Linked DNA regions of Caenorhabditis elegans. The protein of the gene in region 3 interacts with the protein of the main gene of each other region in a pairwise test. Each region holds a gene or a part of one and is shown on either strand. Other genes may lie near its edges.

Region 1 (13,268 bases), 2.2 Mb from region 3:
CAGGATCTCCTAAAGTTGGAAGTAAAGCTGTAAGCATTTTTAATTATTTTTTTGAATTAAAAATGTTGTATTCATAAATTGTAAATTGATTTGTTTTCGTTTCAGCGTGGCACCAAGCCTAAATCGATATTCGAAAATCAAGAAGATGAAGAAGATCGTTCATCCTCTCCAGATATCGAACAACCAGCCACACCTACACGGTCTTCCAAACGAACGGCTAGATCCAGAGCAAATTCCGAATCGATCGATGATGATAGCAAGCAGAAGACCCCAAAAAAGAAAAATGCCGCGGTTAATGAAGCTGGTACCAGTAAACAGTCTAGAAGTGTGACGGTATGATCCCAAAACATAATTTTTTTTCAAAATTATTATTTTCAGAGATCTCGAGCATCATCTATTGATGTACAACAAGAGGTGGAAGAGCCAACCACTCCAAAACGCGGAAGAGGAAGACCGCCCAAAACCGTTCTGGAAAATATTGAAGAGGGTGAAGAAGAGAGAAAAGAAACGGCTGCGGTAATATTTTCAGCAATACGATTTCTCAAACGAGGTGTTTTATTTTCAGACTCCTCTACTGCGTTCAGCTCGCCGTGCTAAACAATAGAGGTCGAACACAGCTCAAATTTTAACTATTTGTCCTTATTTATTTTATTATTTGAAATTCTTCAACTGACACATGTGAAATAAGTTCCAATAAAATTGTTTGGCATTAACATTGAATTGGAAATAAAGCAATAAAGGTGCATAGAACGGAGAGTTCAGGATGGCGTTATAGTTTTTAAATTTCAAGCAACAAATTCGATAATTTAATTTTAACTGGAAAATGTGAACGATTGTTCCTAGCATGCGAAACAGGTGTTTATACCACATTTAAAAAATTTCCAAAACGAAGCTCTGCAGAATTTTTTCTAATTTCTCGTGGTAATGATGAATTATTATTTAATTTTGTTTTTTAATGCACCAATAAAACGTTTTTTCGTGTAGAAAAAAGACGGCATTGTTAAATATATTCTTCACTGCAAAAATCCAATTTTATAAAAACTAATTTAAATCTTTCGAAAGGTTACTGTAACAGTCATTTGCGTGTGCATTTCTACGCAATATGTGGCGCCAAAAGGCTTGTCCTAAAATTCGGCTACCCATTCTAAATAAAATGATTCTTCGCAGTTGTTCTCTGTTAACAGCTTGTTTTTTTTATGTTTTGATGATATTTTCATGTTAAAATAATAATTTTAACGTTGTTCATAGACGTTAGCATGTAAGGACGATCTTGACGTATTGTAAACATCTGTAAAATTAGTTATCCGTGCATCAGACTGGGTCTGAGTCTTTTTTACAATTTACTGTAACATTTTTGTATCTTTTTCACGTTAATACTTGATCAAATTGTAAAATGTTCTCTCAGAAGTGACATTCACTTGGCAAATGACGGAAGCTGACGATCCCAAGAAGAAAATACGCGCGCGCATCGAGCGCGACGTGTACAGTGTTCTGCTATCATTCCAGGAAGGAGCGACCCCAAATCAAGTAGAAAGGAGAATGGAGTTTGTGTTTCGCGGCATTATTTCTCAAATTTAATGTATTAACTATTTAGCGACACGCTTGGCTACACATATGTTGGAAAATATGTACAGGCTGGTGTGAGAGATATGGCTCAACTTCTGCGAGAGCACAAAGATGTACGACAAAATTTATCCGGAGTTTTCAGTGTTGTGTGAGAAATATATATTGCTCTTATTCGAGTCAAAACTCAATACATTCGTTTTCAGCGCAAATGAGGACAATCAAGACCTAATCAATCTGATCTCAAAGCAGAAGAAAAAAAAGAAAGGTGGAAAAGGTGCAAAGCCCATTCGTGCAGCTACGTCTATGGGATTCCATAATAAAAGTGGATTCGGATATGCAGCTCACTTGCGCTCACCGAAACCCTCATTTATGTATCCAGCTTCATCTGCCAGAGCGAACCCGGCAAAGGTTCAAATTGAAAAAAAAAAACTATGTTCAAGATTAACATAATAATATTGCAGCCACAAGCAACTGGGTATCGCAATACCGTTCGACACCCACCTGTCCGCCCTTCCACTGCAACTGGTCACTCTAGTTTCGCAAATAGATCAGCTTATTCACATCATACAACGAGAAGCACCACTGTTGGTCCGGTCAAAATTGCTCCTAGTGCGACTGCTCAGCGTCCTCTTTTACGTCAACCTGTAACCGTTGTTCAAAGACTGTCGTCTACAGTGGCTGTTCCAGTTTTGCAACCCGGGATTGACTCGAAGTGTATGCCTTCGATCGTTGATTTTTCGAACAACGTTAAGCGCATGATGCTTCTGGAATATCCTGCTGATGTCCATGTAAATTTTTTTCAACATTTGCAAATTGCAACTGATTTTTCATATTACAGCTCTCTGAATTGACCGAAATCTACGATAAGCATTTCGATGTATCAATTGATCCACTCCAGTTGTTTAGCAAGAGCTGGATGATGTTCGTGAAGACTTCATTCAAAGAATGGCTGCAACTCGGAACAGACGGTCGAGTTGAAGTGAAGGAACCCTGGTTCACAAATTTTGGAGCTGCGTTAAAGAAATCAATGCCACCTGCTCCTGAAAAGAAGAAACCAACGACACTGCATGAGCCCACTTCAAGTGTCGCATCATCGAGCTTACCGATTTCACAAGGATTTCGGTATCAAATACCAGTTGTTCGTCCGATAGTGTCTGTCGCAGAAAGTATGAAAGGTATTTACATTTGAAAATAATTAGTAGATTGTAATATTTTATTTTAGGACTCACAGTGAGTGCCCGTAGCGTAATGGGAACTCCAAAAGATCTTCCTGGTGTGTCTAACCCGATTAAAAACACAGCTCGGGGAAGTAATAAGCCTCGAAATGGTAAATCCAGAAGTTTCCATTAAAAAAAACTAATAATTTTTATTCATCAGATCTGGCATCTTCGAAAGCGAGTAAGGATCTTGTTGTTCCTGTGATGAAAACTACGTGTATCAAATCACTTGAAGATACTTCTACCAGTAGTTCGAATCCTTCAACATTGCAATTATCTACTGCCTCTACCTCTGCAACAGATCAGAAACTGCCAAAAATGAGCTTTGGAAGACAGATAGAAAAAGGATCGTCGATTCCAGGGAGACATATATCTCTTGCTCTCACGGAAATTAAAAACCAAAAAGTTATTGTGAGTAATTTTCTTGCTAGATTCCATTAATTATAATATACCAAGTGCGGTATCGTTCCGTTTTCGGATCAAGACTAGCTTTTTGTTGTTTTATTGCTAAAATACTGCAATTTTTATGTTCATTAAAACAAAAACAATATTTTTAACTATGCTAGAAAATACCATGCCGACTGTGATGAATAAGCTAAATGAATTTCAGGCGGCTTCTATTGTTGGAAAGAGTGCCAAAACTTCTACAAAAGTGCCATCCACGACTAGAAGTGTAGTTCTCCCACCAATGTCAAAAGGACCAGGATTGGCACGTTCTCGTAACTTTTCACCACAACAATCGACTACATCTTCAATTGATAATGAGTGTCTAGAAGCTATCAATGCTGCGTTGCCGTCGGATAAGGATAGTTGGTGATCGAAATTTTACGTGCTTTAAAATATCCTGTTTATGTGTTTTTGTAAAATTATTTTTTAATTAGTTTTAATAGTAACATTGTTTTTTTTATATTTTGGATGCGAGTCATTCACGAATTTTACTATAAATTTTTTTTCCGGTGCATTCTATTCTTGTTTCGCATAATTAAGAAAAATGTGTTCTGAAACATGAAAAAATATTTGTTAGCTTAAATAGCGTGACCCCTTTAGATGCAAAATTGTAGAGTAGCTGTGAGAGCTCTTCCGACGGGCCACTCAAATAATTGAAAGCGAAATGCAGTTTCTCTTTTTCTCTTCCCCAATGCATTCAGTTTCCTATTTCTCTGCCATGTCAAGATTGGCATCAAACGATGTTCGAATATGGGGGAAAACTGGGGCGGTCGGCTTGTGCACACAGACAGACCCATAAAACATGAATTTATTATTCTACGCGCACGCAAAACGTGGCACTATAGAGACTAAGAAACTGCAGGAAATTCGTTTTGAAGATGAGATAACATCAACGAACGGTGTAAAACATAGAGACAAAAAGTGCTCTGGATAACGACGCGCTATATAAGATTGACCCTTAAGGGTAAAAGAATTCTTATCCAAAAATGTTCTCCAATATTGATTTTTAAGAGAATATTATATTTCTATGCTGTCTAGTGAATAGTTTTTCAATTTGGCACATTATTTAGTAAAATATGTTGAAATAATGAAACTATTTATTAAAACAAATTTTTGAAGTCTAAAAAGAGCCTTTTCACTAGCTAAACCAGTAAATACCTCTAGTCACGGCACTATCAGGTTTGTACAATGACTGTATTTCTTTAAATCGATTGTCGTCTGTTCGTGTGTCTGTATCTCCAATATTTAGCCCCAAGACACTGTCTCTAACCTCCCGAATGAGTGAGAGAACACACGGCGAGTTTTTTCTGTATCACTGTCTGCGTATCTTACTCTTCCATTCTGTGTTCTCTTTTCTCCAGTCGGGACAAGGGAAATACGACGGCCGGATGAGTCATCCCGTGTGTGCCTCCTTGTGATGGTTTTTTTGGTGCTTTTCTGTTGGAATTGTACAAAATTTTAAATTAAAACTGATTTATAAATAATTTCAGCTAATTTTGAAATTGGACAGCTGAAATGAAACAAAAAATCGGAAATTTTGCTTATCAATTCCGTTGGTTGATTAAAATATGTTTCATTTTAAAAATATTTCGTAAGATATTCTTATGGGTATAAAGTTACGAAATGTTCAGAAAGTCACGGAAATTCGAGAGAATCGATTCAAGTGGAAAGAAATGTATCAAGTTTCTTAGATATTTAGAATACTTAATTGTTGTCTTCTTCTCTTTTCGAACATTATTTAATTATCTTAACAACCTAATTATAATTTTTGTTTTCCCATTTCCGGATCAATCTGCTTTATTAAATATTTCGGTTTTGTTCTATAAACACTGTAAAAACAAAGTCAATGGTCACATGATCTTTCTCTTCTTTTCCTCTCCTTACCATGCTCTCCCTCTCCGAATATTTTAGCAATTCGTCCTTTTTGCAGTTCGTTATCATTCTCTTCAATGCCTCTCCGGTGGTGTTAAAAGTGATTTATTATCGATTTTGTTCGTCGGATGATGACCACCGCTGTTCAGCCGTCAGATACAACTGGATTCGGCGGAGGACCCGCTGGATCAAGAGCTTCGGATCTTATTCAGTTCCAAGAAATTGTTAGTTTTTCTCTCTCATCGAACGCGAGAAAAATAATTTTATTCATTACAGATGTCCGAATCGGCCGAATCCTCTTCGTCATCTAGTCAAACGAATGTTAGCGCCGCGAACACATTGCCACGTGAAAGTAATGGACAGAATTACGCTGACGATCCATCACATGTGTATACAAATATCAGAGAAATCGAAGAATTAAACAGGTACGGGAAATATCTGAAATGATTCAGGTTTAGTTATAATGTTTTGAAAAATTGGAATTAGTGTGCAAATCGTGGGTGAAGCATTTGAAAAAGAGGTCAAAAATGGTTTGAAACTTGCCAATCTCTGAAAAATTAAGTTCGATAATTGGTAAATGACAATTTCAGACTATGTTTAAGCACTTTTTCAAATTCTTTCGTCAAATTGAATTCTTATTTTCAATTATATCTATTATTTTTCCATATTTTCTCACTAATATTTATGAAAAAATGTTGGAACAACACCTGGAGCATTTTTTTAATCACTGATGATTATTTAATTTTCATTTTTGATTCTAAAATCATCATAAAACATTTTTAAAAGCTTCAGCCGACCGGTTCCACCGACTCCGCGAGCCGACGCGCAGCCCCGTAGAGATCTTCTAAATGGTTGGTTTGAATACGAGACCGACGTCGGACGGACATTTTTCTTCAATAAAGAAACTGGAAAAAGTCAATGGATTCCACCGAGGTTTATCAGAACACCCGCACAAGTTCAGGTATTATTTTTTACTTTTAAAAAATTAAAATCTGGTAAGATGTTATAATTTCATTCAGTTTTCAATTTTCAGGAATTTCTTCGTGCAACAAGAACGAATCTAGATACTACATGCAGTTTTCAAGGATCCTCGACATCTTCATCAGAAGAACAAAAAGAGAACAAAATGCGTGAATCTTTAGCTGATGACGACAGAAAAAGTCAATTGATAGAAGATGAAGAAGTGTTTGATGAAGTTTGCGATGACGTGGATGAACAATCATCACCTGTAATTGATCTTCAATCACGGCCTCTTCCAATTCCATTCTCTGACAGTTTTACGGATGATGAAGATGAAGATGATGTGAAACCTATAGAAGGATCCATAGCTTCAGATTCCGATTTTGACGAAGAACCTGTTCCAACATCATCAAGAAAAGCTTCTACAGCATCCGGAGTAATGATGCCACATCCCTATGCACATGTTTCTTCGTTTCAATCAACGTTTCCAAGGTTGGTTTTACAAAATTTGTAATAGTGGAGCAAAACGAAAAAAAAATCATTAAGTTTGAAACATGGCTAACTTTAGTGAATTTTCAGTTGTGCCTCATTTGAATTACCGCGCCTCGAAACTCCGCTAATTTTTCCGTTTTTCACTTCGATTTTCTCGACTGGTTCAGACAAAAATAATATTTTAGGCGAAACGTAACTGCCATTATAGGCATAAAACCTTCCTTTTCACTTGAAAATTCAAGGAAAATGAAGAACTTGCGGCAGTATTGAGAACTACAGATGCAAAAAAAGTTATCGGCATTTGAGATCAACCTGAGTATTTTTGAGTGAAATTCCCATCGACGCTACCCCTAAATTCAATAATGTTATATCCTATCACTAAAGTTACATTTTTAGGGCCAAAAATGAAGACACTGACAAATTGGCTTCGTATGTGATTCCCCCAGATGCCAATGAAACATCAAAAACTCCCACCGCAATCCGTGTCCGTCGTCCATCTCCGACGAACCTAAGATCGGTCTCATTTCAGAACAAATGTACAGTTCTAAAAAATGTTCCAATGCCACAAGTGCTGCCGACAACCTCATCAAGTTTCGATCACCATCCGCAATATCACTCTAATACGCCGGATCGGCCGATCCTTATGGAAGATTCTGCCGATTTTACACCATCATCACGATGTGAAGAACGTCGAGGTAGTGGTGATGGACGTGAACCTGTTCGAACGATTCGATGCGGTGATTTGGAAAGAAGTGAAAATGATGAACCAGCAGAGAAAGTTGTAAAGCCAAAAAAACGTGAATGGATCACGAACTACATGTATTTAACAACGGCTCATCTCATTTTGTATAAAGACCAAAAAAGTGCAGAGGTAGTTTTTTTTATGTTGTTGATAATTAACGCAGAAAAAAAGATTTAAGAAATTTTAACAAAATGTGCAGAGATGATGTATTATTGTCTGCTTTTTGGAAGTTTTTCTGAAAATGATCTGAAAATGTTTCATCCACCTCGGTCAAAAAATTGCACTCTTCTTCAGAAACTAAAAATTTCAAAAAGCTTCCGAAATGTTTGCTTATCTCTAAACAGCTTAAAAATGATCCGAAGTTTGCAAAAATCCACTTTTGGAACAACTCGACTGATCATAAAAGTAGTTGAAAAGTTTGTTGATAAAGTTCAGATGGTTCGAGTGGAGTTTTTGCAGCTTAAATATTTATATACATATATATCAGCTCAGCCTAAACATAATGTTTCAAATTGAAGTGCCATATTTTGTATATATTTATTTCCTTTCCTTGTCAGTAGATCAACCAATACCAAATAGTTGTCAACTTTCAGAAACACGGAAAACATTATGATGCTCCACAAGGAGTATGGGATTTACGAGGAGCAAGTGTGACATGGTATCAAGACAATCGGGATGTACAAAAGAAGAAACAACGGAAATATATTCAATTAGAGCTGTGTAACACGAAGAAATACCTGTTACGAGGTCCCAATGACACGGAAGCCGTCGAATGGTACAAGTCACTGGAAGAAGTTGTCGCAAAGCTTGTAAGATTTCTTTATTTGAAAATTATCCAGAAAATAGACAAAAAAAATCAAGTGTTTTTGTTTCATTTTTCTTTTTCTCCCGCCCTTGGCAGGTACAATTAAGAGATTATTCGGCTATAAGCTACTTTGCCAAGTTGTTTCCAACTTTCTCAAGACTGTAGAAATAAGAATTCACGGCCGAAGTTTTTCTCCGTCTATTATTGCAAAGTTTTTACTTGTTGTGTATTCTCAAAAAAGTACCATGTGGCATACTGCTTGCTCCAGAGTCCGAATGTTGAGCCTGCAACGGTCAAATAGTGAGGTGATTCATGGGAGAAAATTCTGAAAATCCTATTAAGCTGGATTTTCGCTTGAAAAATATCTAACCCGGTCTCAACACGACCGAAAATGCTGAAATGAAACAGTGTGTGCGCCTTTGATAATTACAGTAGTCCCGCTATTTTACCATTTTCCTGCCTTTTCGTCTAAAACCTTTTTTTCCTTTTTTTTTTGTGACACTAATCAAAAAATATTGAAATTATAAAAAATCTATCTAGGAAAATTAAATAAATCTTGCTGTTTTTCAATTTTCTTCGACTTATCTTTTTTTTTTTAATTGTGCATACAATTTCACACAATAAAAGGTTTTTTGAGAAAAACGAGAAAAATGGACTATTGTACTTCTTAAAGGCGCACAACTTTTTTCATTTAAACCTATTCGATCGCGTCGAGACCGTATACTGTTTTTTGCATCCGATTATAGATTTCAAGACTATGTATATCGTTTCAGCCGTCTCCTGGCTCTTCAAACCAACCGATGATTGATGTAACAAATGGCGTTGCTCGTAATCCGTCATACATTGGCAGCACGCGTCCACTTTCCCATGCATTAATTCCAATGTGAGTTTTTTTTTCAAAAAAAAAAAAATTGAATTCAAAATTCTGAGAGAACCATGTCTTATTGAAAATGTTTTGTTTTTTAAGAAGCCGAAGTATGCGACGACGTGATGATCCAATGTCACAATCTGCAATTGAAACGGTATCGACAAGTGTATCAACTGATGAACCAAGACCATCAAAAGAGACGATCATTGAGAAGTTGAGAAGATTCTTCCGAACACGCCCTACAGTGGAAAGTCTTAAAGAGAAGGGAATATATAAACGTAAGATTGGAAATATATGCAAACCAGCCGTGGACCGCACCTACGGCGCGGCCCCCGACTTTTTTTTTTGAGAAAATACAATTATCATAAGGTTTCCCAAATTTCCGTTGCTCTGTCAAAAATCAAACTACATAGTGACGGAACGACACGCGCTTTATATATAGTAAATTGATATTGAAATAAGAATCATTTCAGCTGAACCAGTATTCGGATCAACTCTTTCTGCAATCTGTCAACATGAAAACTCGTTGGTACCGAAGTTTATTAGAGTTATCACTGAAGTTATTGAGAGTAAAGGATTGGAGACAGATGGAATTTATCGGTTAGTTTATGAAATTGGAAAAAAATTACATGAAGTGTCGCCATTTTGTGAAAAAATGACCAAATGCCATAACAAAACACATCTAAAAATTTATTTACTATCAAAAGGGGTAGACCTAATAATTTTTTCCGAAAAACATTACCCAGATGCGAACTGTTTGCGTTGAAAAAACTTTTCCCGGTCTCGACACGATTTTTTAAAATTTAAATGATTGTGTGCCTTTAAAAAGTACTGTAATTTCCAACTCACAGTTGCTGCGGTTTTTCGATTAAAATTTATTTATTTGTATTCAAAAAAATTATGAAAAATCAACATCAAAATTACTGTATTTTTTAAAGGCACACTTTAAAAATTATAGTTTTGGAATATCTTTAAAAAATTTGAACTGTTACGAGAGTATTCTCTAACTGTATTTTCAGTTTTTTAAAGGATGACTACCAAATAAAAATAGCATTGAAACTTGAAATTTCTTATTTCAGAGTGAGTGGAAACCTGTCCGCAGTCCAAAAAATTCGATGTCAAGCTGATCAAGACAATTATAAAGCTCTTGTGTCTGAAGAAGATATTCATGTTCTTACTGGTGCTCTTAAACTCTTTTTCCGAGAGCTAACCGATCCACTTTTCCCAATTTCTCTTCATAAGGAATACACATCAGCTATGCGTAAGTTTTTTTTTTGAAGTTTTAAAATGTCCTAAACCAATTTTCTATTCCAGAAATGCCCAACGCGACCACTCGTTTCAAAAAATTCGAAGAACTTCTAAGTCGACTTCCAAACGAGAATCGTGAAACATTGAAAATGTTACTTCGTCATTTGAATCGTGTAGCCTCGCATTCATCACAAAATCGAATGCAACAACATAATCTTGCTATTGTTTTTGGTCCAACACTATTCCATAATGGTGATGGAGCCGTGAATTTGGCAACCAAAAATAAGAAAGCTGGAAAGAAGGCGAAACCTTCGAAAAAGGTTTGTAAAACTTCATTTATTGAGAATGGAGTGAAAAATCTTTAAAAAATTGATATAACATATCATTAAACAAATTTTGAAATTTTTTACAGTTATAATTGGTCATTACCGTTCATTTTCTATATTCACCAAATTATTTGTAATTTAAGTTATTGAAAATTGAGTCAAAACTCAAAAACCAACTGATATTCCTTGTTTAAAATACTTATAATTTCCAGGAAGAAACTCAAGCAACTCCTGTCCAATCGAATTCTCATCTCGCCTTCTCAATGATTATGCAATCCCAAATTGTTCAATATCTTCTCGAATCGGCCAACAAATTTGATATTCTCAAAGCTCCAGTCAATATTGGACGATAATCTATAGATTTTTCAAATTTTCCAAAAGAGTTGTGACCTTATTTCTCACCGTTTCACTTTGGGTGTTTTATCGCCGAAAAATGGGTATTACTTTTATCGTTTTCTCTTATTTTCTTTCTACTTTTTTTTCCTTGACTTTCGGGATTTGATCAATTAATGTTGTAAATATGTACTGTAATATTCATTTTCCTCAACACATTTTCAGTATGCTAGTCTTTTTTTTTCATCCGTTTACTTATTACAGTCTTCTCCTTTTACGCTTTATTCTTTTTTTATGTTGTATTTTCAATCTTCCTACGCTCAAACAAGATGAATAAATTGTGATAATTGTAAACGAGCGCGGACGATAAAAACTCAAAGTTTAGCTCTTTTTGGCATATTTTTTTGGAATTGAAGAAAAGGAAAATACGAAACACTAAAATTTTGAAAGATGCCGGATAAAAAGACACTTTGGATGCTCAATGAGCTCGAAGGATTCGAAAAACCAAAAATCAAATTGGAGCAGTATGCCACGTCATCAGAGCTTGCCGGTAATTTTTTCCTAAAAACTGCATATTAATTGTGGAATAATTTCCTCAAATGTGCTCTGAGAAAATTGAAAAAATACCGAAATTTACCAAAAATTGAAATTTTCCAAAAAAGAATTTAAAAGAAAAAACTTGAAAGCCTAAATCAGAGAAAACAGTCTCAATAATAAAACTTTTAAAGTTTAAAAATTGTTTTAAACAATTTTTGGTTTATTTTTTTCAGAGAATAATACCATTTTTCGAAAAAATGCAATCTGTTTTCAAAAATCCTTCATAATATGACTTCTTCAATCGAAAAAAACTTTCAAATCTTTTTTTGCAAAATCACAAATTGAAAAATTAAGTAATTTTTCACAGTTATATTCGGTTTGTTACTATTATCCATTTTCTGTAATTTAAAATAAAAAATCAAACATTCTTCTTTAAATATAGAAAATCTTGTTCAAGCCGAACATAATTATTGTTTAAAGAAAAGAAAATCAAAAAATTTGTTCCGCCTATATCATGGCGCTTTCTTATGTTTTCAGCTTTCAAATTTAGAAAAAATATTATAAAAAAACTATCGAAGCCGCGCTTCAAAATTTTATTTTTTGGAGCTTCTTACAGTATACACTGTAAAAAACATTTTTGAAATAAGCTTTTACCAACTAAAATCAAAATAAGAAAATCAAAATAATTACAGTCTCGATGATGGAAATGATCGATGAAACAATTGGTTTTGAAGGAAAGAAATTAATTGATATCGGATGTGGATGTGGAATGTTAATGACGACAGCTGCCACAATGTATGAGTTGGAGACTGTTTTAGGAGTTGATATAGATGATGAAGCACTTAAAATTTGTTCTAGAAATTTGGAAACAGCTGAAGTACAGGATAGGTGAGAACTAAAAAAAAAGTAAAATATATGTTTACATTCTAAATTCAACTAACATTTTTCAATTTGAAATTTAACCTACAAAAATACCCGGTCTCGAAGCGGCTCAAAATGTGGAGTTAGAAACTACAGTACTCTTTAAAAGCGCACATCTTTCTGAATTTAAGAAAATCGGGCGCTTCGAGACCGGGTACCGTATTTTCGGCTAAAAATCGTATTTGGGTAATAATAAAAAATTAAAAACTTTCAATTCTTCCAGATGCGAGCTTCTACAAGCCGACATTCTCGACCCGGAATCCGATCTTCCACGTGGCACATTCGACGTGGCTGTCATTAATCCTCCATTTGGAACAAAAAATAATGCAGGTAAATATCCAACGATCTCCTAAAACGTTACAATATCTTAAATTTCTCAGGAATCGATATGCAATTTGTCCAAATCGGTCTTCAAATGGTTCGGCCTGGTGGAAGTGTATTTTCACTTCATAAATCATCAACTAGAGATTATATTCTAAAAAATGCAAAGAAATGGGACGGAGTTGGGGTTTGTTTTTAAATTATTCTAAAATTAGAAAAAAAAATATTGAGTTTCAGGCAGAATGTTGTGCAGAAATGCGGTGGCAACTACCAGCGACTTACAAATTCCATAAACAAAAGGCCGTGGATATTGCCGTCGATTTAATACATTTCAAAAAACTGGATAGTTAATCTCATCAATTTCTGCTGTAAATTCTTCAAAATTGTTTCATTGTTTTGTTATAAAAAATATGCAATCAAGATATGTGAGAAAAGCAAAGAATTCTCTAAACTTTTCCAAAAAATAGAAAACATGTTCAAAATGGATCCGTTCAGAGTGGGAAGTAAATACATAACAAATGGGGACCTAAACTTTTTCCTAAACCTTGAGAAGGGTAAGAAACAAGAAATCACAATAAATAAAGAAGCTCTATATTAGGGAATAATTCATTAG
Region 2 (10,016 bases), on a different chromosome or scaffold from region 3:
TGCGTTTTGCCTCATATCGAACAAGATTCTGATTCTTCTTCTTTTTTTTTTGAAAAAAAAGCCACTATTCTTTGCCATCTACTTCCAAAAATAACATAGCTGCACGGTTTGTTTGTTGCACAACAAGCTTTTACTCCTATTGTCACACAACACACCCACTTCTCCCTCTGTACCTTTCCATAAGCTCTTCTGAACTTCTCTTTTGTCTCTTCAAAGATTTCTAGAATGCGTGGAAACAATCAAACCTTCAAAGTTTTCGGATAGTAATGAGTTGTTTTATTTTGTAGTTCTCACTTTTTTGGAAGTTTACTTTTTCACACATTCTAGAAATATTGTCATTGTCATATTGACACCAACATCCGCTTTAAAGCCTTCTCACAGACCACCACAGGGCACAGGAGAACATACGATTTTCTAGACTGAAAAATAAAAAAATTTCGGGTTAATATGGAAAATTCTCCTACTGCTCCTTTTCTCTCCTTATTTCTTTTTTTCTTACTGTAATAGAACTAGAAATCGTCTTATCTTTTCCTCCTTGGTTATTTTCATTGTGACTTTCCACTAATAATTGTCATTTGCTACTGATAGTTTGCTCATTTTCTGTCTGTCAACCGTTGTGCAGTTCTGAAGTTTGAGTGATTTATGATTTGCATTTTAAGGGTTTAGTGAGTACCGATAACTGATATTCGGGTCTAATTTTAAACGGATGATAGGATATATCCTCCTTCCTTTCCTTCTTCACTGCGTGAAATTTATTCGAATATCCAGTTTTTCCATATTTTAATTTTGAATTGGAATCTGAATTGGAAAGTAGAGTGGGAGTGGAGAAAATAAACGGTAATCCTTCATTTCCCTTTACTTCCAACAAGTTTGGTCAAGTTATCGGTGTTCACAAATCTTGAGTTTGTATTTCTAACTAGTAATGCTTTAGATATTGAAGTCAAATTTTCGTAGTTAAATTTTCTAGAATTTTTTAACTTATCAATTCATTTTTGAGATATTACGCTAATATTATAAATAAGCCTCGATCTCGTAGTTTGTTTCTCACTCGTCTTCCCATCATTGTCTCATTTTTAGTAATTTTCCCCCTTTATTTTATCATCTTCCTGTGTCCTGTGGCAATAGGTGGCTGGCTTTGCAGCGGCCGCTGTGTGTCGCCTATCGACGGAACTCGCCATTTTAGCCGCCAAACTGACAACAAGGCAAGCGGACGTCGACTCGTTGTTCCGAACAAATGCTGAATTGGCACACACCAATGTACGACTGCAAAACGAGGTGGATGAGCAGGATGAGTGGAAAGCAAAGATTGAAGAGGTTAGACCCTTTTTTTATAGTTTATCGATTTATGACTTTTATATCATGCTAAATTCCAGGAAAAGGAACAACTCGAGCAGCACGTGAAGGAACTTGAAGACCAGGTCGCTGAGCTCATGGAACAGCATGAGGTATGAGAAATATTTTGAACAACTTCGGAATAATTATTTTTTAGACTCATTTTCGACAAGCTCAACTTCTTCAATCAGCTACGTCATCGGCTAACACAGAAAACATCAGCAAAGTTCATGATTCTGAAAAAGAAGTTCAACGGTTATCAGCTATCGAAAAAATTCTAAACAATCGAATTTTGGCACTGGAAGACCAGAACTTGGAATTGGAAGAGAAATACCAAGAGATGGAAGATGAAATGCTTTCCCTGAAGCAAGATAGTACCAAAAAATCGGAAATAGTTGCTGGAACCTCAAATTGGGAGGACTCTTGGGATGAAAAAGGTGATGAAAATGCAAAAGAGTTGGTTGAAGCTCGAAATGAAGTTGAACGACTTTTGGATGTTGAGAAAGCGTTGACATTGAGAATGGAAATGCTTCAAATTCAAAATGTACAGTTGGAAAGTCGTGTTAGGGAGCAAGAAGATGTTAATAAAGTAACGAAAGAAACGAAGGATTATGACAATTATGTTTTTTTTTAGAGCGTTACATCCCATGTTAGACAACCGGAATCTTCAGACCAAGTTGAAGAAGACGATTGGGGATGGGGAGAAGAAAAGGAACCGGTGAGTTGTTTTTAAAAAAATTTAAAGATACTAAAGAGATACAATTTCCAATCAGTTTTTACCAAATTCCATGATAGTATGTTGAAAAAATGTCTTTTAGACTACAACAATTCAAAAACGAGATGACGATTGGGGATGGGATGAAACTCAGGAAGAGCCGAAGGAACTCTCAGAAAAGACTGAACTTGATAAAGAGTTACAAGAAGCGAAATCAGAAATTGGACGACTTGTTGAAATCGAAAAAGTATTGAACAATCGGATTTTGTCGCTCGAAGATCAAAATTTGGAACTTGAAGAACGTCTCCAAGAAATGGAAGAAGAACTTTTAGATGAGAAGAATAAAAAGAAAGAAGTCGATGCTAAAGTTGAACAAAAGTCAGAGGAAAACTGGGGAGACTGGGGTGAAGATGATGCCGAAGCTGCTACAGAGTCGAATGTTGTAGTTTCAACACTACAAAGTACAGTTGCAGAACTTCAAGATCGTCTTAAGTTCCAAAAAGAAGTTATTGAGAAAGCGGAAGCAGAACTCATTGAAACTCAGGAAAAGGTTAGGATCAAATGTTTTAATTAAACTCACAGCATACAAAACAGTCAATTTTAGAATAAATCTTTAAAATTTCTCGAATTTCCAATGATATTAAAATACTTTCAGTACGATGAACTCGAACAAGTCTACGAGCAGTCACAACAAGCTCAAAACTCTAACAAGGAATTGATTCATGTAGTCGAGAATTTGAAATCTCAAATGGGCCAGATTCAACAAGACCGAGACAAATTGATGACTGACTTGGTTACAGTGCAAGCTGAGAAACTCGAGTTAGAGAAAATAATTCAAAAGTTGGAAGTTGACATTGCTGAGAAGGAACAAGAAAAGACAGATAATGATGGATGGAACGATGAGGATTGGAGAGAGGATGATCAGAAAGAGACAGAAAGTGAAAAGGTAATTAAATTTCAGAAATGGCAAATGACATTAGATAATGTTTTAATTTAACTTGTATACAAAAATTAGAAATTACGTAATTTCTAATTTTCAGTTGACCCAACTTCGTAATGAACTCACAGCTCGAATTGAACAGCTTGAATCTCAAAAATCGAATGAACAAGCCCAAATGTCGGAAAAATTGAGCCAAGTAGAATCTATGAAAGTTCAAATTGAGCAGAAACTTTATGAAACTCGAGAAGAGCTTGATGACCTGAAAAAAGAGTTGAAGCTTAAGGAAATCGAGCTTCAGAAGGCTTCTGAAGCTTCAACAACTGCATCATCTGAATGGAACGACGATGGTTGGAACGATGATGATGGAGAAATTGATCGCATGAAAGATACGCAGAAAGTTTTAGAAATGAAAGTGGAAGCGTTGCAAGATGAGCTACAGAGACTGAAAGATAATGAGATTGAGGTGAGCGAAAAACGTGTGAACGGGTACTGTAGAAAAATTTCATGAATCATAATATCTATATTACTGTAACTTGTTGTGTTTTCAGTTAACCGAAACAATTTCTGCTCTCCAATCAAAGTTGTATGACGTTCAATCAGAACTGGAAGATACCAAACAGAAGCTAGTCGAGGCTGAAAATTCGGCTTCAGGATGGAATGATGATGATGCGTGGAACAAAAATGAAAATGAAATTGAAGAAGTAAAGAAGGCATTGGAAATCGAGATTTCAAATAGGAATGATACTATTGTGAAACTTCAAAATCTTGTCTCTAATCTACGGCAACAGCTTATCGAGGCATCCGAATCGGCTGATCTGAAGTCTCTGGAAGAGTTGGAACAGTTAAAAGAAGAACTTCGCATTGTTTCGGAGCAGAATGGATTGCTTAAGGATTCGGAAGCTCGATTATTGGATCACGCTGACGAGTTCGCCGTTCAAATGGACAAGTATCGTGAGAAATGCGAAGTTCTGACAGCAAAAATTGCAGAACTGGAAGCACAACTTCAGAATCCTGCTGAAGAAGATCAACAGCAGAAGACATCAAACGTCGAGCTAGTCAAGCTGAGGTGAGTTAAATCTTTTTAACGTTTAAATGAATTGGTGTATAGAACGAAATTTTATTTTAAACTAAAGTATTTGATAGCATGTTCCGGACATGTGAAAATCGAAAAAATAAAGTAACACACAATCAGAAAATTAAATATAGATTTATATTAATATTATTTCAGACAACAACTTGCAAATGCTCAACAGGATATGCGAGTTCAAAATCTGACGATTTCTGATCGTGAAGGTCTTATCGCGGAGTATCGTCATCAAATTGCCGAGCAGACCAAGACAATTGAAGAACTTCACTTGAAACTAAAAACCTTCTCAGCGGCGGCTCGTCGAACTTCTCCACGAGTGCCAATGTCATCGAATGTACCAGCTCTCTCATCCCGCCCATCATCCAGAATGTCAACGTCGTCACGAATCTCAACCGCGTCTTCGTTTGTGCCAGAATCCGTGGCAGTACCACTACAATCAACTGGATCAGCGTTTGATGTCGTCGTACGACAGGTATAAATTTAGCTTTTCATATGATTTCCAGATGCCCAAAACCTAATTGATCACGTTTTCAAACTTAAATTCTTCTGAAAATGTTATCTATGTTACCTTCAAACATTTTTTATGGCGACATCTAAAATAGTGGTATTTCGAAAAAAAATCTCATTGTACATTCGGCCGATATCGGATGCGATACACAAAACCAAGTAATCAATATTACTTACAGAGTGGCGAGCCTCTTCGACGTCGTAACAAATAGATGAGATGACCCCTGTACGTTGCCCGTGGAGAGTGTGGTTCACTGTTTCTTCCAACACTACAAATCTCCAACATACCATTCATTTGCATTCGGTGTTTTCTCCCTCCCTCTTCTCGTTTTTAATCTTTTTTACTTTTATTCTAGGTCTGTCAGTTCTGTAGGATCCCTAATTAAGTAACTTTTCCTCAAGTATTTTTTAATGTATATTCGTAGATCTGCTAAACCTAAATTGAATCGATAATTTTTGGAAACCTTCTTTTCGAGTCGATAATATACATGAGCGTTCTGTTTTATAGTTTTCATCCAGATGACTTGCCCATACGTCATCGTCAAGAGATGACTGATTAATTTATTATTTTTTACATCCAAAGTGCCTTGATATCGGTAGCTAATCGAGTTTTTTGAAGGGTTTTCATTTGTTTTCTTGTTTATAATGCACGAATTGTATGGAAATGATTGTAGTTATGATATTATAAGATATGAATACGGTTTCATTTAACTTCTTTTTTTTAAATCTGTTTTAGTGCAAGGATTTTGGATTTTCAGAGAGTAATGTCAGGAATCAAACCAAGTGTTTCAAAAGGAGAAAGTCAAGCACCGCAAACAAGACAATTGGAAGGTAAACATTTTTGAAATCACAGTGTTTCATAACAGGAATGATATTATTTCTGACGTTTTTTTTTGTATAATTAATCGAAGCTGTCACATCGCCTCGCGCACGCGTGTATGATAGGTTCCATTCGCAATTTGTTCCTGGAAAATTACGGAGAATGAAAGAAAAAGTGTGACGTCATGCGGGTTTTTCTACTTGCGTTTTATGTATCCCGTCTGAAAATCTGAAACATCGATAGTCACGCAGTCCTCTGAATACTTTTCCTCGTGAATGTATATTAAATTTCAGCGTCTAAGCCTACAGTTCAAGGAATAATTGATATTCTTCATGATACCATAAGCTATGTCCAAGTTGAGAAACAAAGTAAAACTATTAATTTTTCCATTCCTCATTTGCAAATGATTAAAGAACAGCTTGAAAGTATTCAATTAAAAGATAAAAACTACAAGGATTTGGAAAAAAAGTTCAATGAAAAACAGGATGAACATTTGGAAACGTAAGTATACTGTTTTTTCGTAATTTTTGTAAGATTAAACTTGTTTCAGAATCCAGAAGTTAGATTCAACACTCAGCCGTCAGAAGCTTAAGTATGATGATATGAGACAGGCACTTTCTGTAAAAATCTATACACTCGAGAATGAATGTTCCAATTTGCAAGACAACTATGCTGACTTGCAAAATGATTTTGAAGTTCAAATTGAAAAATTCAAAAAACTTCAAAACTTGAAAAGTATTCAAAATCACGAGAATTCAAAAAATGTGAATCCTCTAACATTGGATGAGCTCACCGAACAGTTGAAACAATTCAAAGAAGAACTAAGTATTGATCAGAAACTGAAAAATATTCAGTTAACTTGTGAAGGACTACAGTCAGCTGTTGGAAATTTTGAAATGAATTCGAAAAAAGCTAAGGAAATTGAAATTCTTAAAATGGATATAAAGAAGACACAAGAGCTCTATGAATCAAGGTAACTATGTTTATCTGTATAGTCGACCGAAAACATAACATGCACTGCCATCGAGATATAGTAATCTGTTTGGCAGTGTAAGAACAAACATTTTATGTTTCGTAATTACTTTTTCCAGACTGCTCAGGGCTGCTCAAGAAAACAAGAAACTGCTCAGAAAAAACGATACATTGAAAAACTATCTTGATAATCAAACAGCGAAAATTGGAGAGCTCACAGCTGGAAACAAAACAGAGAATCGTTCACCAACTCCAACATTGCAGGGACTTATTGAAATTCTTCAAAAGTTTTCAGACGATCAAAAACTTGAACCAGAATGTAAGATGCTGCAGTTGCATAAAGAGGAGTGTCGTTTGATTTTGGAAAGTCTTGAAGTGCACGATAAGAAAGATCAAGAGATTCAGTGGTTCCAAAGACAAATTAACGATCAGAAAAAAAGGTAAGTTTTGACGAAACATTTATATTTTGTTGATCTTAAAAACACATAAAAATTATTACAGAATCGCTAATCTTGGTTGGTCATACGAAAATGCTCTTGAAGATAAGGATGCTCTAGAATTAAAGCTTGAACATCAATACGAGCAGATGATGGAATTGAAAAAGAATTTCATTCCGAAAAACGAAATTTCTGAGGATTTGGCGAAGACTGTCAGAAATTTTGGAAAACGTCTCAGAAATTCTCGAGGAAATTTGAAGAATGCGTTCAAAGAATTAGAAGCTTTAAAAGAAGTTCAAGAGGAAGAAGGCTCATCAGATGAAAGTTCTGAAAGCAGCGCTTCTGATGATTTACCAGATGGTGACAGCTCGTCAGAGGAATAGCATCGAATCAGAAAATTGAGATTTCATTGAAATTAAATGTACCTTCTTACAATGACTAATATTTTAAAAAATTTTAACTATTCACAAATCAACGATTTTCTTGTTATTCGCTCTACGATATATCATGATTTCCCATTTATCCGACTTTCTCTTTGTTTTCAAATTTTCTTGATTATTCTGATTAACTTTACACTGTTCCAACTGTTCTTGTTTCTGAAATAAAATCTTCCAATAAGTCCTTCCAAGAACCAAAGACAAACTTATGTATAAAAAATGTCACAATTATAACAGCTGCGGACGAGCCCGAACAGGTTGAAAGTCTTTCTCAACCTGTGGACAAATGACGGTCCAACAGCCGGTAATGGACCTAAGACGGCCTTCAGTTTGCCCGCTATAAAACCGTACGTATTAGCCAGCGGTGGGCCACTTTTCACTGTTGCCGCTTCAAATTTGTCATGGCTTGGAATGGATAGAAGATTGTTGAGACGATGGGTATATCAGATTTCTTATTCTGTTCGTAAAGTCTGGATCATTTTGAGATTATTCTGCGTCTAATGATACAATTATCTTATTTATGTTCCTCGAGGGTGTCATTTTTCCATGCTATCGATTTTTTAGACAATCATAAATGTTGTTAGGTTGACCGAAGGCGCTGGAAGATGATGAACATGCCCTAAATTTTTGACTTTTGACAAGCCAAAGTTTACATTTCTGTTCATTAGATCTTTGAAAGCAATTTGATTTTTGTAACATCGGATAGCTTGATTGTGAGTCACATAGGATCTCTCCGGTCTATTGACTTTGTGACATTTACATTAAAAATATTTTAAAATAGGAAGGATGCTAATATGGATTTGTAGTGTAAAACAATGGTTTATGTAAAATAATTATTATATTTGAAGTACATATGTAGATAAAAACATTGATTTAAAAAATAAAAGATAAAATAACTGTATTTTATATTATAAAAAAGTTGCTCTGTTGTAAAAGTTAAGATGTAATATTATGGGAACAGCAATCAACAAGTATGGTTTTTTATAGCTTTTTATTAAACAGTTGAATCATTTTTGGTGGTTTTCTCGGTTGTTTCCTTGGCCGCCTTTTTGACCATTTCTTTGCTTTCTTTAGCCTGCTTTGCGAGAAATCTTGCCATTTTCATATCCCTCTTCCTTCCCACCAACTTTTCCTGTGCACGCATGTCAAGCGATTTTTGAGTGTACTGTGGGTAGCACACTCTTCGTGCAAGACGAAGGGGTGGTGGGCTGAAAAGTTAAATAATCTTTTTAATCTGATAAAATCCAAAATCCTAATATTTGCGAGAGATTTTTGTCATTTTGAAGGATTTGGGGATTAAATACTGATTTTTAGGCATCGCGCACTACCTGGTAATTCTAGCGCAAGCAGACCCACATCAACTCCAAAAACTGCCGATTATACTTTCTGGAATCGTGTTAAATTTTGCGATAGTTAAAAAAAATAACATGACAATAAACAAAACTTTGTCATTTGAAATTTCTTCTTGGATCATGCTTATTAAAATTGTTTGTAAAATTATCCAAACTCTTAAGAGGGTTATGCTTGTTATTGTAATTATATGAATATCGGTACGTGTACTACGTCTCACACAAAATGCAGAAAATGGCCAGAAGGTAGACAAGAGGGTGCTGGTTCACAAAAAATACTGAAGATTTGCTCTCATTTGTAATCAATTTGAAAATAAACACGGTAAAATTTTATCAGAATAAATAGCAAAGCTGAAAGAGCAAATAAATATTTGGTATATTTATTAAACCTAAAAGGTAGCCACTATCACTAGCTGGAAAAAAATTAGTTCTGAGAATAACTTACTATGGTGCACGCTTTGATTCAGCGTCTCCGCATTTTTCCGAAACCATTCCAGTCGATGATCCTGGAGACATGCCTAGTAGATTCCAAAAAAAAGTAGATTTGAAGTGAACATGAAAGTATTAAAAGTATAAGCTGGCAAGATTTGCAGACAAGATATAAGACGAGCATGCGAAGAGAAAGAGATGAAAAAGAAAAAGAAAGAGGAAAAATTAGCTGAAATCATAGAGCCGTGGTGCAATGCACATAAGTTTCTTGAGTTGGGATAAAATATTTTATGTGTGTTCAGAAAATCAAAAATTAAGATGATGAAAATGAAAATCAGCGTATCGTTTCGAAATAACTAAAACATGAGATTTTGACACTCCTGGTAAGAATGATTTCATAATCGAAATATAAAAAAAAACAAGACAGCAAAACGTTTAAATATTGATAGATTCATACGTCACAAGAAGATGAAATTACGAATAGCAAGTACAACAATTATTTTGAAATATCGGAAAATCTGGTCTCATGATGATAGTAGTGAATCATAAAATATCAAAGCGTTATAAGAAAGCTCAGTATGAAATGTGTAATTGGGCCATGGGGGATTCATTTTTAAAAGTCTAATTACAGTTTGAGACAGAAATAATCTGTAACTTAAATTTGAATACACATGATTACCACATGGTTTTCTAAATGTAATATTATAATTGAAACATCAATCATTCAGAACTTGTAAAATCCCATGATCCCCCAGAGTTGGTGTTCAAACATTTGGAGCGGTGCGATGATGAGTAGAATGAATTTTATTGAAGAGCAGTTGCGCATGTGTAATAACGGAGGAAGCGTTGCTTAAGGGTCATTGGAGAGAGAAAAGAAGGGAAAAGTAGTGGTTACTGTACCTAATGACGTCATAAGTATTCCACTTTTTGGTGCATCGTGACCCAGTTCAAGCACGAATGGCTATTGCAAAATATTTTAATTTCACCATTC
Region 3 (10,466 bases):
TTTAGTGGAGTTTTTCTTCCTGATTTTCAGAAAATCTGACAATTTGTTGACAGGTGTCTTATACATTACAAATTCTTCTAGGATCCAAAGATCTTTGGATCTAGACAATTTTCAGAAGTCACGCTCTTATTTATAAAGATTAGGAAAACAAAAAGCCCATGAAAAGCAGAAAAGTAAAAGGTTGAAAGTTGAAATTGTGGTTGATGGGAGCAAAGGTGAAAAATAGAAGAAAATTGAGAGAACAGGAGAAGAGACCGATGTGATGGTGGTGGAGCACCAGAACCACAACAACAAGAAAAAACGACAAAAAGTGAAGAAGAATGAAGGGGATGTAGAGAGAAAAAGGGAATATAACGACATCTGGAGACTCGGAACGAAAACCAGATTCGTTTTTTCCTCACATTTCGCCGTTTGAGCTGGTTTCCGTGGTACATTAGATGAGTGATTGGGTTTGTGATTTTAAATTCATTGACTCGAGAAGACCCGAACTCAATTGGTTTAAGCTGTGCGCGGGGGTAGATCAAAAAGGGATCAAAATCGGTGACTTCTCGAATATATGTACGTTCTAGATTCTTTGAATTTCCAAGAACATGTTAAAAACTTAAATTTCGATTGACACAAATTTGTGAACCGCGGTGAGCACTTTGAAATTTGAAGCGAGGGTCTCTCCGCAGAGTGACTCTTTTCAGCATTATTTTGTATGTGAACCTTTAAGTTTTCATATGAAAATATTTTTTAAAAAAGCATTATAGAACGAAACAAGAATTTTCCACAAATGTTCTTTTAAACCTGATACCATAATTGGGAATTTTTATGCAAACCTCTAGGGATAATAAAAATACAGTACGGTCATATAAAGTCACATAAATTGCTTTCAAATTAGTTATGTTGCACGTTGGAACATTTTTTATGAAAAAGTAAGTTTTTTGATTGCAGAAGATACACATCAAAATAAAAGGGAATATTGTCTCTTTTCTGATGGAATCTTCTCGACGTGGTACTAATTCAATTTTGTTTCAAATAGGAATCACAGGGACCTATGACATCAAGCTCTGCTCCTTTTTTCTTTTTTTTTTCTATTTGGGCTCTCCTGGATTCCATCATAAAGGAATGCTTTTCACAACTTCCTTATTGTTTTTTTGCTTTGCCTTTTTCTTTTTTGCGTTTGAACACAATTTCACTTTTTATCCTGCACGTTGAGATGTCGGTGAGAAAGAAAAAAGTTTCGGAGCACATGAAGAAAAGAATATTTATGCGAAAAGGTGCGATTGAGATTTTTTTGTTGAGAAAATGTCGTTTCAGGGTTATGGAATGGGGTTCAGTGAGGGGAAGAAGGAAGATCACACCTACAACAATCAGGTTTTCAGCAGAATATTATGAGGAGATATTTGAACAAAAATATTTGCTCTGAACAGTTGAGCAACTTCAGAGAGAATGGATAAAGTTCAATGTGTCAAACTATTAACATCAACAAGTTTTTATATTCTTATCAATGTACTATAGTTTCTGATCCCTGATATACCATTCGATTCTTCTCGATTTTAACTGTAGATCATGATCGTCAAGAGTGCTCACTTATTTGCTCAACGTATCCCGTGTGCCACGTCACTGATCTGATCTCTCTCTCTCTCATACACGGGCGGCTCAAACACGTGGTCTACTTAATCTTGTCCTCTCGGCAGCCAGGTAAATCGCGCAAACAGTGAACGATTCCCAGGATACAAAAAATGACTTGTAATTCATGAGTTGATGTTTCGATGTATTTCCATCTATGATCAGACATCTCTTGTCAATCGGAAAACGATAATATCATTTGTCAACGAAAACCACACAAACGGGAGACCTTTAATCTTTTGGAATGGAACAAGAATAGATTTATTGTGATAAATTAAGAGAAACTTGGAATGAAAAAGGAAACTAGAGAAACGAGAAGGTGTGCGATTTACGAAGATATTTTGGACGCACTGAACTGATCTAAAAACGCATGCAATCGGGTTGTTAATGATTCGTCATTTTAAAATAGGTAATTTTGCAGTTTAGATAGGACAAAGTTCAAAGTTGATATAACTTTTTGAATGTTCGGTACCTGAAGCTTATAAGGAATTCGTAAAGTTCACATTCTAGGTCGTTCTGTTCAGACAGTTTACGGAATAGCTATTGATTTTACTTAATTTGTTTAATATTTTAGTTTTTCTTAACAGTCATTAGTTTCAATTTTTAAATGCTGGCATTACCAAACTTCCTTCTGATTTCTCGTTTTTCTGTCTACAGAAGTTCCTTGTTGTTCTATTTCTAGTGGCTAATAAACACTTGACCAGTGTTACAGAATTATTCGATTAGTTGTTCCATCGATGTTCGATCCTTTATCCCACATACCGATTGTCATCGTTTAAAAAAACGAAACGAACATTCCCTGCGTCTCTCGATCTCTTATCACTAGTTCTTGATTTCTTATTGACCAACAAAGATCACGGAGTGTACAATTTGCGTCATTCGAATATTTGAACACTTTTTCAAAGAAAATAAATTACTAATCACTAAGTGGATTTCGAAATAAATCGGTTCTGACTTGATTTATGAAACTGTTTTCTTAGTAATTGTCTATGTGTACTTTGAACAGCGGGAGTACTTTCTCAAGTGGATTGTAGTATGTTAGCTCAGGGAGAACACGTAAGCGGTTTTCAGGTCAGAATCAATCAGTTTATCAGATATAAATTGGAAATAGATTATGATTTGAAAACGAGGAAATATTGAACTAGATAGAAAACAATACCAATACAAGGTCAGCCGAAAGTCCGTGTGCAAATTTGTGAATTTTAGGAGTTGAGCCAAAGTTTTTGATAAAAAATAAAAAACAGCGACACGAGATAAAAAGTACTATGTAGTAAATTGAATTCTGAATCAAAAATTTAGAATTAAAAAGTTTAAATGAATACTAGAAATAGGCTTGGTTCATTGCTCAAAAGTGCCCTGTTCCTAGCAACAAAAAATCGCAATTTGGAAAAATAGGAAAAAAACGATGAACTGCAATTTTTAAATATCCGGTAAGACTAGTTATAGTTACATTTCAATTTTTTTAAAGTCTGAAATGTTTTGAATATTCATAAAAAATTATTGGGACTTCAACTTCTTTGTTTTCAAATCTTAATTATGTTTTAAGAAAGTTTTAAAAACCTAATTTCCCGCCAAGAAAATAGGCAAGGCAGGCACTTTGTCATGCTTACAGAAACGTAACCCGTAGTTCGAAGACTTTAGAATATTCTAGATACGTCATAATGTTTTATCTCCTTCCTTTTCTCCAAAAATTCTTCATTTATTCTTCTCTTTTTTTCTTCAAATTCTATGGTCGTCATGTCTAATGGGTAAACATGTGCAGTTTATAGCCACTTTTCATTTCCCCTTTTTTCTATTTTTAAACCATTTTATATATTTTTTTCTGTCCCCAGCAAAACTTTACTTTGTTTATTAACTTGAAGAGTTTTAAATTTGGGTTTTTGTTTTCACTGTTGGCGACAACTGATGAGGGAAAGACTTTTTTGGTTTCCTTATCACATATTATCAGTCAGTTCTGACTGATTTGTAGCAGGGTTACTTGCTTACGCACTCACATGTGATGCTGCAATTTCAGCACTGATTGTTCGAGAGAACGAGTCAGCAAATTGGAAGAAATGAAGACAGAAATAGAAAAAAAAGAGTCTAGGAAGATGTTTAATTGTGTGGAAATATTGGCTTGATTTGGTGAAATTTGAGTTTGTAAAGCATTGAGACATGTTCAAAAAGAACATTTAGAATTGTAGATTTCATTAGTTTTCAAAACAGAAAACATGCATTTTTGTTGAAAAATTTAAAAGGACTCATGGTAAATAAACATAATTTCTCGAAGTTCAGACAAGAGCACCGATTTTTTTGTGTATTTCGATCTTTTGTACTCGCCGAACCAATCTATTTTCACCTTTTTTCTCTCGATATTTGACCTTAAGACAATACTATGGAAACATTGCAAACTTATCAAGCGATCTCTCCCAACTCCCCATATGACACGTCAAAACCGAAATTCGATACTTTTTCGCCTCCTTGACGCCTGTGCTGTTCCTAATGTTTGTGTGTTTGTGAGTGCTTTGAAAAGATAGAAAGAAAAAGAGCCTGTCAAATCATCTTGCAAAGAAGGTTTTTGACAGATTAGTCCTAGTAAGAGCACATGAGAAATGAAAATGAGCCTAATTTTTTAAGTTGAAATAAGAGTATGGGATGAGAGGAGTGATCTTATTCGGGAATTATACTGAAATTAGTAGTTGCAAAAGTTTACAGATGAGAAGCAGTAAAAGTTAAAGAATTAAAGATTAAATGAATATTAAAAGTTCAGATGGAATTGGATATTGGAAACATCTTGGAAGAAACTTTGAAAATAAATATGAAAAAAGATGTTAAGGCTCAATTAAAAAAACGAAATTTTAGACATTTAATAGTACAACGGTACTAGATAACTTTAAATTGTTTTTTTTAACCTGTATTCTCAATTTAAACTAAATTAATTTAAATTAATTTGAAAATTATGTTTGAATATACATCATTCCAAGGTTTTTTTAATTTGTAGATTATTATCTACTTTCCAAAAGCAGCACTATAGATCGTTGTACGCGTAAATAGGGCTTTTAGAACAGAAATATATTTTTCCAAAAATATAAAAAATGCTAGAAAGTCAATAAATTAATAGGAAATTTTAGTTTTAAGATCACAAAAATCTTACCTACTTCAACTCAACACAAACAAAAAATACAAATGAAAAATGAGAAAAGACCAACCTGACGGACTCGTAAAGCCACAATCTTTGCCTTCTAACAGCTCCAGCGTCTCCTGGTGCTCGTGTCATATTGGAATAGTTTTAATTAAAATTAAGCAACAGTAGCCAGGATTTAATGAAATAAGAAAATGGAAAACACTTTTGTGTACCTCTGATGGCAATTGTTTTCTAGCACAATTCAGGAATTGTGGTGGTATTCCAGAAATAAAAAGTTTCAGAGATTTAAGAGTTTTTAGTGTGTTCCTTATTGAAAAATGGCATTGCTGACGGTGGGCGCGGCGGCGGCAAAAGTAGGCGGTGCCCCAGGAGAGTGTGTGGATCTGCGTCTCTTATTCTCATATGCTCTTTCATAAGTCTATGACCACACAGTTCGAAACATGGACGGCGGGAGAGAAAAAAGAAAACCGAAAAGTGTCTCTGAAATAAAAAAAGACAAAGATTGTATCTGGGATAAGCACTGGTTAGATACGATTCAACCATGAGAGAGGGGGAAACTGTTTTTTTTTTCGTATAATTGCCTAGTGCAATTTGTGATTTGGTGTATAATACAGATTTCTTCACCCAGTTAGTAAGAGTTAGCATAACTTTACAAAAAGTCTCAAACTATGGTCCTATAGGAGATTGTATGAACATTGCAGAACTTAGACAGTATAGCATTTTTATTGGTGAAAATAGCGGCAAGAACTCTTAGTGTTGTGTTCTATAATCTTTCTAGGCAAAATCGAATAAATATAAGTGCCTTGAAACACGAATTTCAGACATTCATGAATTTAATATTGCTTCCAAATGTCATATTAGCCGGTAACTGATTTTATTGCTCTAAAAAATTGAACGATTAAAATATGACATTTTTATGAAATATTTTGATTAGACGATTACTCAAAAAACAAACATCAAATGTGTTGTTGGTTGGAATTTAGAATCTTATTGATTTTCCATAATAATCAATTAGTGTAGTCTATGTCTTGAGTGTTTTTTGCTTTCAAATTTTGATATTTCTTGTCCTCAATGTTTAATTCATCAACTGATAAAACATATATAATTTTCCACTCCATTCTCAATTTTATCAACAACATCACCAAATGAAGCTTCAAATATAGGTACACAATGTATTTGCGTAAGCAGAGTAAAATAATGGAAAATATGGAAATTTCATGGAAATTTTTGGAAGAAAAAGAGGAGGAGGAAGAAACAAAAAACATTTGAGTGAGGGTGACAGATTTGCATCGATTATTTTTTTATTGAAATATTTATGTATCAAGTTGTGATAAGTGATGACTGGTCTCTGTGCGTGTGTTGGAAAATGTAAACTTCTGGAAATTGTAGTAGCATCTCATAGGATTACTTTCACCGAAAATCCCAAAAACCTTGATACTGAAATAGAAGTTATTTGATCAATTGACTCGGGTTTTCCAACTCTAGATCAAAACACCTTATACATACCAAGATCATTAGTTTTTCAAAGAAAGAACTTTGAATAAAAAGTCCAAACTATTCTGACAGTAGGAAAACTGTCACAGACAGTATTCCAAACGTGGCCTTTACTATTTTTCTACAAATGAACAGAAAAGTGAAAACTTCGTAAGTTCTGGAGAATCCAAATAATAAGAAAAATGAAAAAAAAACCCAAGTTGCATAATTTTGAAAATTTAGTTGAAAACTTTTAAAATTTTTTTGAAACATCCAAATATTGATAATGTTCACAATATGGCCCAGAAACTTTTGAATTATATTCAAAATTCCATTTTATTTGTTTAGTTCTGTACTGTTTTCAAAACAAATACATAATCCCATGGATCATCCAATGAATTTTTTTCAGTTTTTGAACACAATGTGTTTTTTGTGTTACCTGCTGCTCAATGCCCAGGGTAACCTTTCAAAATCAAAAGGATCTCTGACACAGTAGAATGATCGCACTTTTGTTTTTTGAAAGTTACTTGACCCAAACAAATTGAATCTATTTCCTCCTCCTTTCCTCTTAACCCATCAAAAAATTGTGATTTTTGCAAGAACAAAGGTCGAATCATCTCTTCTTGATTACCCATTGGGTTTAACGACGAAACACACACTGGGACAGTTGTCTCTGGGCTTTTCACGAGTTAAAATAGTGTTAAATTGAAAGAGGTTAGTGAGGGATATTTCGACAAAAAACAATTTGTCACAGCTCGTTTTGTTTTCAGTCTGACTTTTGTTTTAACATTGAAAGAGAGGGAGAGAGTGAGCTCAGAAAAACACGTACTTTGAGTTTGAAAGAGAGAGACTCGTTTGTGATTGATGGAGGAACTTTGTGATTAGAAAAACCAGAGAGAAGAATGTTGAAAAGTGTTTTGGTGGGTCAGTAGTGGTTCGCAAAAGTTTGTGACGCTACAAGAGTCAGGTGGTAGGGATGCCGAAATTTGGTTTCTCCACAAGATTATTAATTTTTCGAAGTGTTCAAATTTTAATACTTATTATTTTTATCATCACAATATATCTAGCAGCTGATTGTTGACCGACAGGAATTTTAATAATGGAACTTGGGGGGGGGGGGGGGGTTTCCTCCAAATTATCACTCTGGATCCATGGATACTAGATTATTGGGATTATAATAGACAGTACTTAATATTATTATTCCATGAAAACTATTAAAGCATTTCAGTGGTAATTCACCATACCGAAATCGAATACAAAACTTCGAATTTTTCCGGATACAAATCTCTAGCAGTCAGCTTTAAAAGTCATAAAAATTTCGGTGTTTATAGATGGCTTAATTCTTTTAGGACCCAACTCTTTGAAATTAGACGACGAATTCTGAGTAGGCACATCACCAGATATTTTCAAAAGTTCTTTCACAAGAAAATCGGACAAACGCATCAAATCTAGAAAAAAACTAAGTTACAGCGTTTTCCTTGAAAACTGCCACTAAAACCAAAACGATTGTTAAAAGAAATATGGAGAAAAGGCGTGAGAATGGTGTCTCTTCTTGCAACTTCTACATATCTTCAATGCTTTCATCCGTCCTTTTTCTCCAGGGACCAATCGAATTTGGACGGCCACGGCCGATTTATGTATCGAGCTGCGTGTTTTTGTTGTTTGCAGAGAAAAACTGCAAATTCTCGGTATGTTTCCGCTACTTTTTTGTTCCAGTTTGCAGCTCATTTTCATGGAGCTTCAGTTTTTGTGTTTTTTCTGAATAACGTTCAAATTGTCAATCCTAAAATTTGCTGATATAAGACGAAAAATTTTAAAAAATTGCGAATCATACAAAGGTCTTTCAAGTTGATAGCTACATTCCTGAAACAAGCGGGACGCTCTCAATTCATAATTTGGTTTGCATACATTTCGGTGCAAAATTTGAATCAAAACAATGAATTTCAGTGCACATTTGAATAATACCGAGACATCATCATGAATTGTTCATAGAACAATACATAGGAAGAACAAAGATTACCAAGACTGGACATTGTTGAGAAAGTTGTTTTTTACGATTCAATGGCTAGACAACAGAATCATTTAAAATTTCCTCATTAAATTAATATCTGTCAGCAAAAGGAGCAAGGCAAGGCTCGATGGTATAACTTCCTAAACTCGCTAAATTGCATATCTTCAAACTGGCGTATCTTAAAAAATACAGGTCTAGAAAACAAATGTTTAACTAACAAAATGATTAGAAATATGTTTGATTTCTTTTGCATAACTTTTCATTGCAAAATAACAATTATTTGTTAAGATACAAAGAGTCAAAGGCATTTTACCAAAAGCTACTAAAAATTTTGAAAACTTTTCTGTTGTACATGTCTGAACCCAACATACATTGAATTTCAGAAAAAACATTTTGTAGAATATTAACTGAAAAATATTGTTCTACATTTTTTCAGTTTTAAGTTTTTTTATATTTTTATGTCAGCCAAGTTACATACTGTTTTTCAAAAAAATCCATTTTCACTCATAAAACTCTTCATATCCTACGCAAAAATTTGAAATTTGCGCGAAACATCATCATTTTGAGTACTCTATAAGGTACCATCAAACAATTTTCAAAAATAATGTTCATCTCCAAAATCGTCCTCCGCTCCGAAAAATGAAATCGGATGTTTGCCTTTTGGAAAATGACAAAAAATGAAATTGTGACGTTGGGTTCGAAAAATATATTTTCAGAAAGCTGAGAACACGTTATTTACGAATTTCATGTTCATTTTTGATTATTTCTTTTTTGAAAAGACCTAAAATTTAATCATGAACCTAAATTCATTCTCACGTGAAATTTATTTTTGCTTAAAAACAATTGAAAAACTGATCAAATCTTTTGTTGATAAAGCGAAAAAATGTCACGGGAGAATGAGGTTCATGATTTAATTTCAGAACTTTTCAAAAAAGAAATAATCAAAAATGAACATGAAATTCGTAAATAACGTGTTCTCAGCTTTCTGAAAAAATATTTTTCGACCCCAATATCACAATTTCATTTTTTTTTCATTTTCCGAAAGGCAAACATCCGATTTCATTTTTCGGAGCGGAGGACGATTTTGGAGATTAACATTATTTTTGAAAATTTTTTGATGGTACCTGATAGAGTACTCAAAATGATGATATTTCGCGCAAATTTCAAATTTCTGCGTAGGATATGAAGAGTTTTATGAGGGAAAATGGATTTTTTCGAAAAACAGTATGTAACTTGGCTGAGCATAAAAATACCAAAAAACTTGAAACTGAAAAAATGTAGAACAATATTTTTCAGTTAATATTCTACAAAATGTTTTGTCTGAAATTCAATGTATGTTGGGTTATGACATGTACAACAGAAAAGTTTTCAAAATTTTTACCTTTTGCTGGCAGATATTCTTTTAATAAGAATTTAGAATGCGCATTTGTTTAAATATTGAATGGGAGAAAACATGTTACATGAAAAATAATTATGTATTCATTTAGGTTATAGTCTGGTTTATTATGGTATACATAAGTTAAAATATTGATAATATCTATGCACATCAAAAAACTGACCTTTATGGGATGATGCAAGTGAATTTCTCGTCATTTCTCGACAATTTTTTTGCAATGCAAGTGTGCGGAGAAATGACGAGAAATGACGTGAAATTCGCAATTTCTCCGCAATTTCTCCGCATTTCTCGACATCCACACATACCGTAGTTGGTGACGTTGTTGGCGGCAAATCGCGGCGAGACCCGCTGTGTCGATTTACGAGGATATAGCTAATGTTAGTTTTTCCCAATAAACTTGGTTTTTCTGTCGTTCTTGTTCAATTTTCGTGATCTTTTCGCAGTTTTTACTCTTTTTCATGTATATTTATTGAATTCAATATCGTACTTTTCAATTCTCTGCGCAGTCAAACGTCATTTTTAGTTTTATAGCTATTTTCGGTGGCTTAAAGAAAAAAAATTTAAATTTTCCTTTTCAGAGCTCGATATTGCTCCAGTCAGGATATGATTTGTTGATGTCGTCAGCGCGATGAATTCCGTCACATAAAATATGCACAAAATCGTCAATAACGATCAGAACAAGATATTGGTCATCGCGTAAGTTCAAAAAGTGAATAACTGGATTATGAATATAATTTCAGAAAGTCAAATGCTCAATCTCTGCGGAAGACTTTTCTACACTCGTGCCTTCCGAAAATGTCGCTCTCTCAGCCTTGGTCGCACAGTTTTGAAATCTGTCAAGGTATCCC

Evidence for each region.
Region 1: the proteins of prk-1 (region 3) and tag-325 interact in a two-hybrid assay, tested with the Caenorhabditis elegans proteins (one large-scale study listed by BioGRID).
Region 2: the proteins of prk-1 (region 3) and T11B7.1 interact in a two-hybrid assay, tested with the Caenorhabditis elegans proteins (one large-scale study listed by BioGRID).

The regions. Positions count from the first base shown.
Region 1 is NC_003281.10:4,791,681-4,804,948, forward strand, and holds tag-325 (WW domain-containing protein tag-325), read left to right. Parts: upstream 1-5,158; 5' UTR 5,159-5,230; coding exon 5,231-5,326; intron 5,327-5,378; coding exon 5,379-5,527; intron 5,528-5,888; coding exon 5,889-6,063; intron 6,064-6,135; coding exon 6,136-6,554; intron 6,555-6,950; coding exon 6,951-7,425; intron 7,426-7,889; coding exon 7,890-8,105; intron 8,106-8,874; coding exon 8,875-8,984; intron 8,985-9,068; coding exon 9,069-9,247; intron 9,248-9,442; coding exon 9,443-9,569; intron 9,570-10,048; coding exon 10,049-10,230; intron 10,231-10,283; coding exon 10,284-10,537; intron 10,538-10,755; coding exon 10,756-10,896; 3' UTR 10,897-11,227; downstream 11,228-13,268. Other genes in the region: Protein mel-28, read left to right, coding at 1-29, 106-333, 379-516, 566-604; mip-1 (HTH OST-type domain-containing protein), read left to right, coding at 1,426-1,544, 1,595-1,714, 1,770-1,974, 2,028-2,354, 2,405-2,741, 2,789-2,893, 2,944-3,194, 3,394-3,600; rRNA N(6)-adenosine-methyltransferase metl-5, read left to right, coding at 11,327-11,426, 12,106-12,301, 12,558-12,664, 12,715-12,842, 12,893-13,006.
Region 2 is NC_003282.8:8,835,380-8,845,395, forward strand, and holds T11B7.1 (Centrosomal protein of 162 kDa), read left to right. Parts: upstream 1-5,337; 5' UTR 5,338-5,345; coding exon 5,346-5,412; intron 5,413-5,694; coding exon 5,695-5,902; intron 5,903-5,951; coding exon 5,952-6,374; intron 6,375-6,492; coding exon 6,493-6,813; intron 6,814-6,874; coding exon 6,875-7,193; 3' UTR 7,194-7,426; downstream 7,427-10,016. Other genes in the region: T28C6.7 (Kinesin motor domain-containing protein), read left to right, coding at 1,142-1,314, 1,374-1,445, 1,490-1,921, 1,967-2,050, 2,151-2,597, 2,703-2,993, 3,088-3,450, 3,536-4,053 and 2 more; T28C6.11 (uncharacterized protein), read right to left, coding at 4,284-4,504, 4,759-4,882; T11B7.2 (Ribosomal_L30_N domain-containing protein), read right to left, coding at 8,242-8,455, 9,042-9,112.
Region 3 is NC_003281.10:6,984,760-6,995,225, reverse strand, and holds the start of prk-1 (Serine/threonine-protein kinase 1), read right to left. Parts: upstream 5,059-10,466; 5' UTR 4,871-5,058; coding exon 4,803-4,870; intron 1,066-4,802; exon of another isoform or gene 923-1,065; intron 518-922; exon of another isoform or gene 306-517; intron 1-305.